Macaca fascicularis: one gene and its partners. The protein of the gene in region 2 purifies or fractionates together with the protein of the main gene of each other region. This does not show direct contact. Links are inferred from orthologs where the notes say so. Each region holds a gene or a part of one and is shown on either strand. Other genes may lie near its edges.

What was found. The genes of interacting proteins can lie anywhere in the genome.
Region 1: the proteins of KPNA4 (region 2) and KIF22 purify together in Homo sapiens (affinity purification with mass spectrometry; 3 studies listed by BioGRID and IntAct, counting the BioPlex papers as one, with this or other methods). This does not show direct contact. The link is inferred for Macaca fascicularis from reciprocal best matches to the Homo sapiens genes KPNA4 and KIF22.
Region 3: the proteins of KPNA4 (region 2) and MECP2 purify together in Homo sapiens (affinity purification with mass spectrometry; 3 studies listed by BioGRID and IntAct, counting the BioPlex papers as one, with this or other methods). This does not show direct contact. The link is inferred for Macaca fascicularis from reciprocal best matches to the Homo sapiens genes KPNA4 and MECP2.

Annotation. Positions count from the first base shown.
Region 1 is NC_088394.1:28,312,924-28,317,110, forward strand, and holds the start of KIF22 (kinesin-like protein KIF22), read right to left. Parts: upstream 2,859-4,187; coding exon 2,822-2,858; intron 1,191-2,821; exon of another isoform or gene 1,142-1,190; intron 1-1,141. UniProt on the Homo sapiens protein: Kinesin family member that is involved in spindle formation and the movements of chromosomes during mitosis and meiosis. Binds to microtubules and to DNA. Plays a role in congression of laterally attached chromosomes in NDC80-depleted cells.
Region 2 is NC_088376.1:63,526,327-63,530,433, reverse strand, and holds the start of KPNA4 (importin subunit alpha-3), read left to right. Parts: upstream 1-1,254; 5' UTR 1,255-1,544; coding exon 1,545-1,613; intron 1,614-4,107. UniProt on the Homo sapiens protein: Functions in nuclear protein import as an adapter protein for nuclear receptor KPNB1. Binds specifically and directly to substrates containing either a simple or bipartite NLS motif.
Region 3 is NC_088395.1:160,165,491-160,169,732, forward strand, and holds the start of MECP2 (methyl-CpG-binding protein 2), read right to left. Parts: upstream 2,859-4,242; 5' UTR 2,826-2,858; coding exon 2,764-2,825; intron 1-2,763. UniProt on the Homo sapiens protein: Chromosomal protein that binds to methylated DNA. It can bind specifically to a single methyl-CpG pair. It is not influenced by sequences flanking the methyl-CpGs.

The DNA of each region.
Region 1 (4,187 bases), on a different chromosome or scaffold from region 2:
TGCCAGTAGCATTCTCCACCCTCACCCTCAAGTTGTAACAACTAAAAATCTCTCCAGACATCTCCAAATGTCCTGTGAGGGACAAAGTTGCCCCCAGCTGAGACCACTCAGTAGGCAGGTCACCTGTCCTCTTGGCTTCAGTAACATCTTACAGCGGATAAGTACTATTGTACGTTCTGCACAAGAGCGCTCTACTGCAGACCCACATTCTGAATGGCTGCCCTGACAGCTCCTTTTTTTTTTGAGACGGAGTCCCACTTTGTCGCCAGGCTGGAGTGCAGTGGAGCTCTTGGCTCACTACAATCTCCTGCCTCTGTCTCCCGAATAGCTGGGACTACAGGTGCGTATGCCACCACACCCAGCTAATTTTTGATTAATTTTAGAGATGGGGTTTCACCATGTTGGCCAAGATGGTCTCGATCTCTTGATCCTCCCGCCTTGGTCTCCCAAAGTGCTGGGATGCTGGGATTACAGGCGTGAGCCTGGCAGACGGCTCCTCTTAAACTCCACCTGTCCTAAACTGAACCCTCCCTTCCCCATCTCTCTGCAGCCTCCTCCTTTGATCTGATGTAAATGAATGGCACCAACCCCAAAAGTGGGAGTCTTTAACTCCAACGTTTCTTACCTCCCACATCAGTTCATCATTAACATCTGTCAAGTCTATTTCTTTAAATCTCTCTTGAACAAGTCCACTTCTCTCCATTCCCACTGCACTACCTCTGCCCAAGGTCATGGTCTTTACAGCCTTCCTTGCTGATGGTAGCAAGGTGTCTCCCTGCCCTCTAGTCATTCCCTCTGTTTCCTTCCTTGCAGTGTAAGTTACCAGTCATGATGAATTTCCTTCACTTCCTACAAAACTCTAAGTTCTCTTGCACCTTTGGGTTTTTGTCCACGTTAATCTCTCTCCCTAGAATATCTGCACTGCTCCCCACCCCACCCTGGAGTGACTGAGGTAAACACATCTTAATTCCTCTTAAAAAACAAAACCAAAAACCCTTTCCTGGTAGACACTAAGGCTTTATCAGGTGCACCCACAGCTCTTGTTAGCCCCTCCATAAGCATTTGTCACGCCCCACTATTGCGTGTTTGTCACTTTCTCCACCTGACTGCCAACTGTGAGAACAAGTTTTATCCTGCTCACCTTTCTAACCCCAACACCTGGCGCGGAGTAGGCCCTCAGGAAGTATTTGCTGAAAAAAATTAAGATGTAGTGAATCAACTTCTACTCACTGGCTTGTTCATTTCCATCATGAAAGTGGCTCACTGCCATTCCTGCCCCAGAGCTCACAGTCCAGGGGAGGAGGGAAGAGGGAGGGCCACATGTAAACAATTATTTACAGCACAAGAGTCTAGCCCTTTCATGATAAAAGCAACCTTGAGCTTGGACCAGACTAGCAATTATTATTAATTTTCCCTTCTTCTACAATTCCTAAATTTCACTCACTCTTCTTCCTTCTCTTGATGAGGAAATTGAGCTAAGAGAGCATCTTTGGCCTCTTTTACATCATAAATCAACACTTGCTGTTCTTGTCTTCTTAGTCAAAGCCTGGCAAACTCCTATCCAACCTTTGAAACCCATCTCAAGTATCACTCCCTGAATGAAGTCCTCCCCTTGAGTATTCTACTCAAGGGTTTACTTCAGATTCCACACACTCAGTGTATACACATCTCTCATTGTGTTTCATATTACATCTGAGTATGTGACACTCTATTCAAACAGATTTTAAGTTCCTCGAGGAAGGGACATTATATTCAGGCATTTTCATATCTACCATGCACCGGACACAGTGCATCAGGGTAAGGGGAGACTCTGCTCAGCCAGCAGGGACAGCATGTACTTGGGCATAATGGTTAAGAGCAGAGGCTCTACACTCTGACTCCTTGAGAGCGAATTCAGGCCCCAATATTTACTAGTTGCGTTAAATCTGAACAAACTAACCTCAGTTTCCTGTATAAAACGAAGACAGTAATAGTAACAACCTCATAGCATTGTGTGGACAATAAATGGTTCACCACCATAAAATGCCTACAACTGTGCCTGGCACATAGCAAGAGCTCTACATGTTAGGCATTCTCCTAAATGTCTGTTTCCCCACGAGGCTAACGAGGGTTCCAATGAATTACTATGGCGCCCACCATCATCACTGACAAGGGCTAAGTCTACGGGTTAGACAGGCACATGTAAACAAATACTCACATACAAGATTTTGGGTGTCCTAACAGCCTTTCTAACCCTAAAATAGCATTCACTTCCATGCTAGAGTGAAAGGAAACTTCAGCCTTTTATTTCGTTTTATTGTAATCGCAGAGCATCTTACGCTGTCAACTCAAACCCAGCAGCAGCCGGGTCTGATCCTCAATCCGCCCTCCTGCATCTCTCAGGGATGTCTCTGCACCCAAACACCATGTCCCACACAGAACCCTTCCCAAAACACGCCTCCGGCTCCCTTCTCGTCCTCGTGGCTAGAGCGTCCGCCACTCTTCTCTTGCTTATTCAGGTCATCTCCAGGGACAAGGCCATGACCCCCATTTCACAGAGGAAGAAACCGAAGCTCACAAAGTGCGCGGGGTTCAAATCAAGAGCCTGGGCCGGAGACCCGAGTCTACTGACCCAAGGAGAGAGCAGGAAACAGGGAGAAGGCTGGAGTCAGGCTGGCCGACCAACTCGCGACCCCACACTCTCGCCGTCCCCCCTCTCCCCGCCCCTGCGCTGTGGCCGCCTCTCCGCGACAACCCGCGGAACCTGGACCACACTCCGACGCATGACTCCCACTAAGCTCCAGACGTCGGTGCCCGCCTTGCCCAGGCCGGGCTCAAGTACCTGAGGTAGCCGCCGCTGCCGCTACCGCTGCCGCCATCTCGCGTTGCCTCTGCTGCGTCGAGACCCCCGCGGACATTCCCCTCCCTCCTTGGGCCCGCCTCTCCCATTCGAATTCCCCGTTGCCCCGCCCCCTCTCCCAGGCTCCGCCAATCACGACTACGCGCCGCCGGAAGCTCCTGCGGGTGGCTCGCCACTATCCCGCCCTCCAGCGCTCGCCTCCGGGTCTCCAAGAAAAGGTTCCACTGGTCAGGACGCATGCGCGCGCGTGGGCCGCGCAACCGTTGACCTCTGAGAGCGCGCTGCGGTTCAAACCCCTACGCGGAGATGTTGACGACGGTGGCCGTTGGGGGAGCTGCTGAGCGCCGCCCGGCACTGGGCTCCCTTTCGTTTCATTTTCTGCAGTTTCTTGCCTCCGTGGTTGGTGGCGCGTCTGCGGAGACAGAGTCGTTGTGTGGATCGTGGGACTGCAGCCCCAGCCAAAGGGCTGTCACGTCTGGTCGGTTCTGTAGATCTGGGCCCCAGGGGCTGGACTGTGGGTAGTCACGTTGCACTCGCTGCCTGCTGGGCCCAAGGCCACTGTAGGTCCCTTCGCGTCCATGTCAGCCCAGGAGAGCAGCTGGGATGTTCCTGTCTTTATAACTTGGGACTCAGCACGTCGGCGAAGCGTGGAAAACGCTTGTTCTGTGATTCAGTCCCACTCACCCGCGGTTCCGGTTCCCAGTCTTTAAGGGTACAGCGGTCCGTTGAGTAGCTCTCTGTCCTTTGTGAAAGGTTGGCTAGGGACTGTCATTCCACTTTTGAGCACCAGGTAGGTAGGGCCCAGGTTTAGACATTATGTTCCACCCTACTGAACAACAAAACAAAACCCAGGCCGGGCTTGGTGGCTCAGTCCTGTAATCCCAGCACTTTGGGAGGCTGAGGCGGGGGGATCACTGAGGTGAGGAGCTCGAGACCAGTCTGGCCAACATGGCGAAACCCCATCTCTACTAAAAACATAAAAATTAGCCGGGGGTGGTGTCGCACCTGTAATCCCAGCTACTCGGGAGGCTGAGGCAGGAGAATCGCTTGAACCTGGGAGATGTAGGTTGCAGTGAGCTGAGATGGTGCCACTGCACACCCCGTCTCAAAACAAAAAACACAAATCTTACATCAGTGTTTCTGAAACGTTTTGCCTTGGGATCCCACTACAGTTTTTAGAAATGAGGCCTCTAAAGATGTTTTGCGTATATGAGGGCTTTTGTTTTTTTGTTTTTGAGATAGGATTTCACTTCCATCTCCCAGGCTAGAGTGCAGTGGCTCAATCTCGGTTCACTCCAACCTCTGCCTCTCGGGTTCAAATGATTCTCCTGCCTCAGCCTCCCGAGTA
Region 2 (4,107 bases):
CTCCCCCAAAGGAAACTCAGTTGTTCACATCTGTTAAACCCACTGACTTCTTCCATTTTAACTTAAAAAAAAAATTCCCCTCTGTTGGCTTTAAAAGTGTTTCCCTAAGAAACATATGCATTTTAAACATTTATCTCTGCACGTTGTTCTGCTCAAAAAATACACTAGAAAGGACCGGGAGTCAACGATTCTGAAGGAGTTTGTATCAGGGTCTCTTCTCCCTGCCTAGCCAAGTTTAAACACACCCAACGCCTCGATTCCTTGCTTCCGACCAGAGTTGCTGCTTTACATATCCCTGGACATTTGAGATGTTATTCGTTGATATTTCAATATATTTTAAGATAATTTTCCATTTCTGTTTTGTGAAATTTTTGAATACGTTCTTTTGTATCTCGTGTCATTTCTGCCTCTGGTAATGTTGTTGTCCCTGGTATCCCTGGAATTCATTTCCTTTCTCAACAGACAATATTCCCTGTCAGCTGCCACGGGCTCCGCCCTCCAGAAGTTCATACTTTGTGGTCAAGCAGCTTCTTTAACTTTCTAAGACGAATTACCTAGGAAGTGCTATTGTCCAAGGATCACCAGCTCTGCCTAAATTCCTACCTGTTGCGGGCGCTTAGTCACAGAAGATAAATCAGATACGTCTACTGGGCCCTTTCCTTTTCCACCCAGCGTTCCTGTCGCTTTCCGCTGAGCCTCCTCAACTCACGTCATCCCTGCAGGTCCTGGCCCCCAGACTCGACCCTGGACGGCAGGGAGCCCCAGCCCGGGAACGGAGCTGCGAGCGTCCGACCTGGGAAAGAGCGAAGCTCAGATCTCTCTGCAAAGCGAACAGAGAGCGCAAGGAATGCCCAGGAAGACAGGGCGCGCCCGGGGAGAGAAGAACGTTACTTTAACGCAGTCTCGACCCTGGACCCCTGCATCTAGGGCTTCCCGGACGAGTGATGCAAAACAACTCGCCCTGCTGCGTTCCCCGGCCTCTCCTTCCCCTTGCTGGTTTCCCCTGAAGTGTACTTCTCTGTCGCTTCCTCCCCATCTCTCCGAAGGCACGTGGTCCTTCCCTGCCTACCCCAGCCGCACCCCTCCCGGCCCCGAGCCGGCTCCTCCCAGCGTCGTTCGCTTCCCCTTTCCGTTCGCTCTTTCCGCCCCGGCTCTCCATCGCCCCTTCCCATTGGTCGAACGCACCGGAGCCTGGTTGGCCAATGGGCGAGCTGGGCTGGAGGCGATGGGCGTGGCCGCAGCTCCGGGGCCCTCAGATCGAGGCTGCCTCCCCCTCTCAGCCGGCAGCACATTCCGCCGCCGTTGCCGCCGCCCGGCCCCACAGTTGTCTTTGCCGGAGCTGCAGTCGCGCTGGGGTTAGGGCGGGGGGGCGGGCGGGGAGAGGAGAAGGCCGCGGCGGAGGCAGGTGAGAGGAGGAAGGAAGCGGCGGCGCGGCGAGCACAGCAGCTCAGGCGGCGACCCGGTTCCTGGGAGTGTCGGTGCGGCGCGGTGGTTGGGGCGGATCCCGCGGGGCCCGGGCGGGGGAAGGAGTCACCGGCCCGGCCATGGCGGACAACGAGAAACTGGACAACCAACGGCTCAAGAATTTCAAGAACAAAGGCCGCGACTTGGAGGTAAACTGCTGGACGACGCCGGAGGGGTGGGGGCCGTGGGCCTGGGGCCGGTCTCCGCCGGGACCCCGAGTGTGGGGAGTAGGGGCGGGAGCCGCCTCCGGGCCTCGGGGAATGGCGCTGGGGGCCGGCCCGTCCGTGACGCCTCTGCTAGCGCGCCGGGAAGTTTATGTCGGGCCTGCTCCGCCTCCGCCGGGGAGCGAGGTGCCCGGGTACGGCCGGCGCGGCCTAGGCCTGCCCGGCAGAGCCGGCCCGGCGCGGGTGCGAGGGGTCGGGCCGCGCGGCGGGGAGGCCGGGCGCGGCGCGTGCGGAGGAGGCGTGCGTGTGCGGTCGGCGCTGCCCGGCCCGGGCCGCGGCCCTCCCTGGCAGCGGCGGAGATTCCGGCTCTCGCTCGGGCACCGACGTCTGGCGCTGCGGGAAGGAGGGCGGTGGGGGTGGGAGGGTGAGCGTGTGGCGACCGAGTGGGGCTCTGAACTTCCTCAGCGAGGCCTGAGGCGTCTCCACTTAAAGGCATTTTTTCTGGTCTTCCCGACTCCCGCTTTACCCCTGCCTCCCCCCAATATCCAAACTACAGGACAACTTCTCCGTTGAAAAAAACACCCCCGGCGTGAGAGGCCATCCTGGTGATGCTAACAGTGCCTTCCAGCGGCCTGTGTTTTACTCTGGATATAGCTGATTCAAGATGTGGCTCACGGTGTGCCCTCTTCCAGGCAAAGGATACCCCTTATTTCAGCTTGTCCACAAATCTCTTTACCCCCTCCTGAGAGGAGACCACCAGCTGCATTCTTACATATAAAGTCCAAAGGGTTATACAAAGCTGTCATCCTCTAGTCTACAGTATCCTTTCCCTCCACCTGCTGGTGGTGGTAGTGGGGGATGGGGTGGGCTAGGGAATGGCACCATCACGTTTGATTATTTAAAAAAGAAAAAAAAAATCATTGTCTTAGATACAGCTGCTCCCCAGATTGTCTACATGGGGCGTATGGTTTAAATACATGCATTCACACACGCATACCCACACACCCCACTGAGATTTTTGATAGAAGACTTCTTCCCTTCAGCTTTAATAGTTTAGATAAATAGATTTATTTTAATACTTCCCTTCTGCATCTTAATCACGAGTTTAGCTTTTAGGGAAAGTGGTCAAGCAGTATTTTTTATGTTGTTCCTCGGTATGTTTTCGTAATGAAATCTTCAACTTCCCATGACATTTCTGAACTTGAGCGTTTGCTTGACTGAAATATTTTTTGGGCTTTTTACAAAGCTGTTAATATTATCTTTAAAGTAGTTTATGCGTTTTAGTGGGTTTCATAATTTGAGGGAGTACTAAGTGTCCAGGGCTGTTAATTCTGTGGTTCTTTTAAGGTTAACATATTACCGTTGTGATCCCTTTTTTAATACAAAGATGTCACATCTTTATTGAGATAATTCGCATGCTATAAAAATGAGCTGCTTAAATAACAATGATTTTTCAGTAAATTTACTTGTGGTGGTGAAAATGTTTTTTACTAATATGAATACTTAGAATGAGAAAAAAATCACAAATGATAAAACTTAAAAACTGATAATTACCACAAAATTACAGAATCCAGAAAAAGAGCAATTAGGTGCTTGACAGATCCCTGTAACCCTTTTTTCCTCTACATTTCTGGCTTCATTTTTCTAGCAGCTTCATTGAAATGTAATTCACATGGCATACAATTCACCCACTTAAAGTGGCTTTTAGTGTATTCGCAGTTTTGCAGCCATCACCACAATCAATCTTAGAACATTTTCACCACGCCAAAAAGAAACCTGTACTCATTAACAGTCACTCTCCAATTCCCAACTACCCCAGCCCCAGGCAACCAGTTTTTTGTCTTCTTAGATTTGCCTATCCTGGACATTCCATATAAATGGAATTGTACAATTTGTGCTCTTTTGTAACTGACTTCTTTCCCATAGTGTAATGTTTTCAAGGTTTATCCATGTCGTAACAAGAATGTATCAGTGTTTCATTTCTCCTTATGACCTAATGATCCTCCAGCTCATGGATATACCACATTTTATTTATCCGTTCATCAGTTAATGAACATTTTCATTGTTTCCACTTTTTTAGCTATTTTACATAATACTGCTAAGAACATGTTTGTGTGGACGTATGTTTTATTTCTCTTGGCTATATGCCTAGGAATAGAATTGCTAGATCATATGGAAACTGGCGTTCAACCTTTGGTGGAATTGTCAGACTTTCTGAAGTTATCCTTATTTTTTAAATTGATGTTTCCTCCTACCTCATATCTTTTAGCACTTTAGTCAAAATCAGATTAAGTGCTGAGGCTGTATTAGAAGAAGATTGTGATGTGTGACTTTAAAAAAACAAGTATACATTGACATTAACGAGGGTGTTTGTTTGTTTGTTTAGAAATTCATAGTGCCTTATGGTTGTCCTCTGGTGACTTTAATATCCTTTTGCATACATTAGGGGTAGGAATATTTTCACTTTTCCACCTAAGGA
Region 3 (4,242 bases), on a different chromosome or scaffold from region 2:
CAATAAGGAACTAACAATTTTATCTCTGTTGTTCTTTATTTTAGGTTAAAGAAACGAACTTCTCATTTCATCTCCACATGGGAGGAATGTTCCAGAGGGGGTAACAGCCTATTAAACTCATCTAGCCAGTTTTTTTGTTTATTTTTTTTTCAAACTCCACAGCTTGCCTCCCTACTCCACTAGATGAGATTGCACAGAGGCAGGGCAGGCACGGGAAATGACTCTGGTTGGAAATTACAAACATATACACACAGAATGTAAGCACCATAACCCTTTGAATACACAGTGGTTTGTGCCTTGCCCCAGACCTACCTAAGTATTAAACAGCACAAAAGTCGGAGTTCTGCTGACTGTATGACACTCTCCTATCAATCGGGTAAAACAAAGACCCAGTACTCTAAGCTTAAAGCATTCCAGGTTAAATTTTAGTAACAGGCAATAGGAAGGTGTGATAGGCCAGTGCTAACAAGAAAGTCATAGATGGTTTCTTTGAGCTGTTAGGACACTGGAAAGGGCTGGTATGGAAGCCCTATGGAGCCATTAGGACAATGGAAAGGGGGGTACCCCTCCACCCGGCACTTTGAAGAGAAAACTATACTATGGAAGCTGCCTGCACTGTTGAAAGGGCTAGGTGTATGATAAACAGCTAACTGGAGGGGAACCCGAGGAGACAAACTGCCAACTATGAAGAACAAAGCAGAGACCTCAACTTGTCATGTCTCAAGCTCAGATGTACAAACTTTGGGATCGTCAAGTGAGGCTCCTGTGTCTGCCTGGGGATATGACTGTATTCCAGTGATCAGCCACCTAGCTGACCTGCCACGAATGGGTGACCTGTGGTGACTTATTTTAATCAATTGTACTACTTCTAGATTGATTGGGTGATTTAAGGTTCTGACATATTCACGTAAGAAAATAAAAGCAAGTGCTTCCTACACTTCCTGACTGGGATTTAAAATAGAAATCCTGAAAAGCCCATAAATAAGCCTATTTCCCTAAATCCTTGGTGGAAATTCCCAAAAGATTAAAAAATCCAGACCCTATCTTATTATAGGGACCCAGCAGATTTCAAAAGACTCAAGAGGTCAGCTTAATCTGGTTATTAACTGAAATTGCTGAGATACAGATGAACATTCCAGCCACGGAACCCAAAATTCTCTAGAGTAATAATTACCTATTAGTGCAACGTTACTACCGAGGCCGTATATGCTTTTTACAGTATAACAAAATGCCTAAAACTTATGAGAGTCCTACAACGTCTAAGTCACTCAGTATCACATCCAAGTAGGTATGGTTCCTGGATCACCAACCAACCCATGAATTCGATCCTGTTATCTCAGTTTGGGGTACTGATCCCGCACAGCAGAGACACAACGTGTGCAAGGCTCGGCAGAGCCCATTCCTGTTCCTGGAAAAATAACCAGAAGCACACATCTGTCTGACCATGAGTCAGGAATATCAATTTTGTGGTGGAGCCCATTTCTGCTGTGACCAACCCACACCCGAACACACTCACAACAGAAGTCACCGCCACAGAGCAATTCCAGAATGAGCTTTTTCCCCCTTGGGGTCCATACTTAGCAATGTCATAAACGGTCTCCCCTGCGAGAGCAATCCTTTTAAACTCTTCATAATGACCTTAAGTCTTTAGTGCAAAACCACAGAAACATTGCCACTGCCATATAAAAGTCATCTGAGTTTCAGTTTGGGTGATTCGGTCATAACCAAACTGAACAGAGAATAACCTTTCAGGCACAATGAACAGGAGCCACAGCGTCGCGATGAACTTGCTCCATCTGGTACCGGTGATCCCGAGCGCTCCAGGGCGATGAGAGCCCGTTACCTACTATGTCCCACTCCACTTATGTAACTGGAAGATCGCCGGCGAAGGGGAGGGTAAGATGGGAGGGTGCTCACATTCCGAGGCCACAGCACTCCAAAGAACCTCTGAGCACCCTGGGGACACGCTCGCACCTTAGAGCCTCAGGCGCCGAAGAGCCTCGGGTGCTGCTGGACGCACAGTCCCCTACTCACGGCTCCTGATGGGAACTATAACCACCTCTTTATGATGAGTTGTGGGACCCAGAACACAATGTCTAGTCCTTTTGTGGACAATAATCCCCACCTCCTTGTTCCTGCTAGATGGGGAAAGGAGCCGGTGGACCTACTCGCTCGCGTGGGGGTGGGGGGGCAGAAATTCATGGAATGGGCGAGAAGGAGGGGGAGGCAAAGCCCAGAGATGGGGGTGAGAGCTCAGGAGCCCTTGTGGCGCACTCTCCCGACGGGAGGCGAAGTGCGCACGCGCGCCGGTGGGGGGGGCCAAGTAACGGGAGAGGGGGCGCGCGAGGGAGGAGAGGGGAGAGCGCGATCCAGGGAGAGGCCGGGGCCGCGGGCGCGCGACGGCGCCGCGGCCCAAAGCCCCGAGCAGGGCAGGAGCGCGCGCAGCCCCGACAGGCGAAGCCCCGGCGACAGGGGCGCCCGCGGGGCCGGGGGCCGGGATGCGCGCCGAGGGCGGAAGGAAGAGGGGCGTCAGGCGAAGGCGGCTCCAGGGAGGCCGCGCCGAGGACGGTCACCCGCGAGCACGGGTGACGGGCCGAAGGGAGAGTCGCCACCGGCGGCGGCGGGAGGGGGAGGGTAGAGAGGAGGGACGCCATCCGCCAGCCGTGTCGTCCGACCCCGCGGGCCCCTCCCGCGCCACGTCCCGCCCCTGACCCCCGCCCCCCGGCAAGGGTCCCCGCCCGCGGCCACGGCGGTCCCACTCACAGTCTCTCCTCCTCGCCTCCTCCTCCTCCTCCGCTCGGCGCGGCGGCGGCGGCGGCGGCCATTTTCCGGACGGCTTTTACCACAGCCCTCTCTCCGAGAGGAGGGAGCGCGCGCGCCGCCGACGCCGGGACCCCGCACGGTCGACGTCGCGCCCCGCCCTCCCGGCCGGCCCGCGCGCTGCTGCACCTGCGCGCCCGCGCCCCGCCCCCGGCGCCGCTGCGAGCCCGCCCGCCATTGGCTGTGATGGCCGGGCTGGGGCGGGGGGGCGGTCACAGCGGCGATGCCGTCAATTGGCGAGATTTCTTGTCCATTTCGGCCAGGGAAAAGGAGGCGGTCCCCTCCAGCTGTTGATTGGCTGCTTTCGGCCGACGTTTGGGGAAAAGAGGCGGCTTGGGCGCGGAGGGGCTGGTTTAGTGGGCGGAATTTGAATGTTAAGGATTAATGGACCCTTGCGGATGCTGGGGCAAGTGAAGGCCCAGGCTCGGGACGCCTGTTTGCGCGGCCCTGAGGGGCGATTGACCCTCTGTCCACAGATGCACCGAGTGCGCTGCAATAAGCGTTTCACTGCACCCGCAGTTTCTCAATATCACCATTTTCAGCAGAAGCAGCAAAGTTACCCGCCCTGGAGCCTGACGTTGCCCCAGCTGAGGGGCCTTGGTTTCAGAGGCCTACTCAATGCATTATTTCATCTGAGCCTGCCCGGTGGTCACGTTCTCGTAGGGGTGGGGAATAAACTGACAACAAATCCCAACCCTGGCCTTCGCAGAACTCTGGCGGGGGAAGAGAGTGCATGCCAAGGCCTCGTGACACCTGTCATTGTTGGATCAGATGGTTTGGTGGAGGTGTGAATAAGGGGCAATGTTAGCTCTGCCTGAAAGATGTGATTTGGGAGCTGAGATCCAGCAATTGTTCACTTTCCTAGAAAAATGGATTTGGAGCTGAGATCCAGCAATTGTGTTTTGGGAAAATATGAGAAAAGTGTTAGCTAACCAGGTGTTCAGGACAGGAGTGTTTGTTAAGGGGACCTTACCCTGATGCCAGTCATTATCCAATCCATTCAGTGATCCTTCTGTTAGTTCTATGCTTAGCAAGAAAACCTGATTCTGATTTGGCTGCCTGCCCCCATTCATTTATTGACTACCTGCTATGTGCCAGGCACTCTTCCAGGCTCTGGATGCATGGTACTGAACAGACAGCATACTAAGATTCTTGCCGGGAAGATTCATACTAGCATACACATAAGTATAATGTATCATTTCACATAGTGACAGGGGCTTTGAGAAAGATAGAGTAAGAGTAAAGGGGGTGCTATTTAGGTATCTATGGGTTTTCATCCTCATTTTACTCCCTCATTTGAATATCTGGGGAAAGAACATTCCAGGCAAGTTCAAAGGCCATGAGGAGAGACTATGCCTGGCATGTTGGGGACTAACAAGGAGGTCAGTGTTGCTGGAGAGTGGTAGGGAATGTGATTGGAAA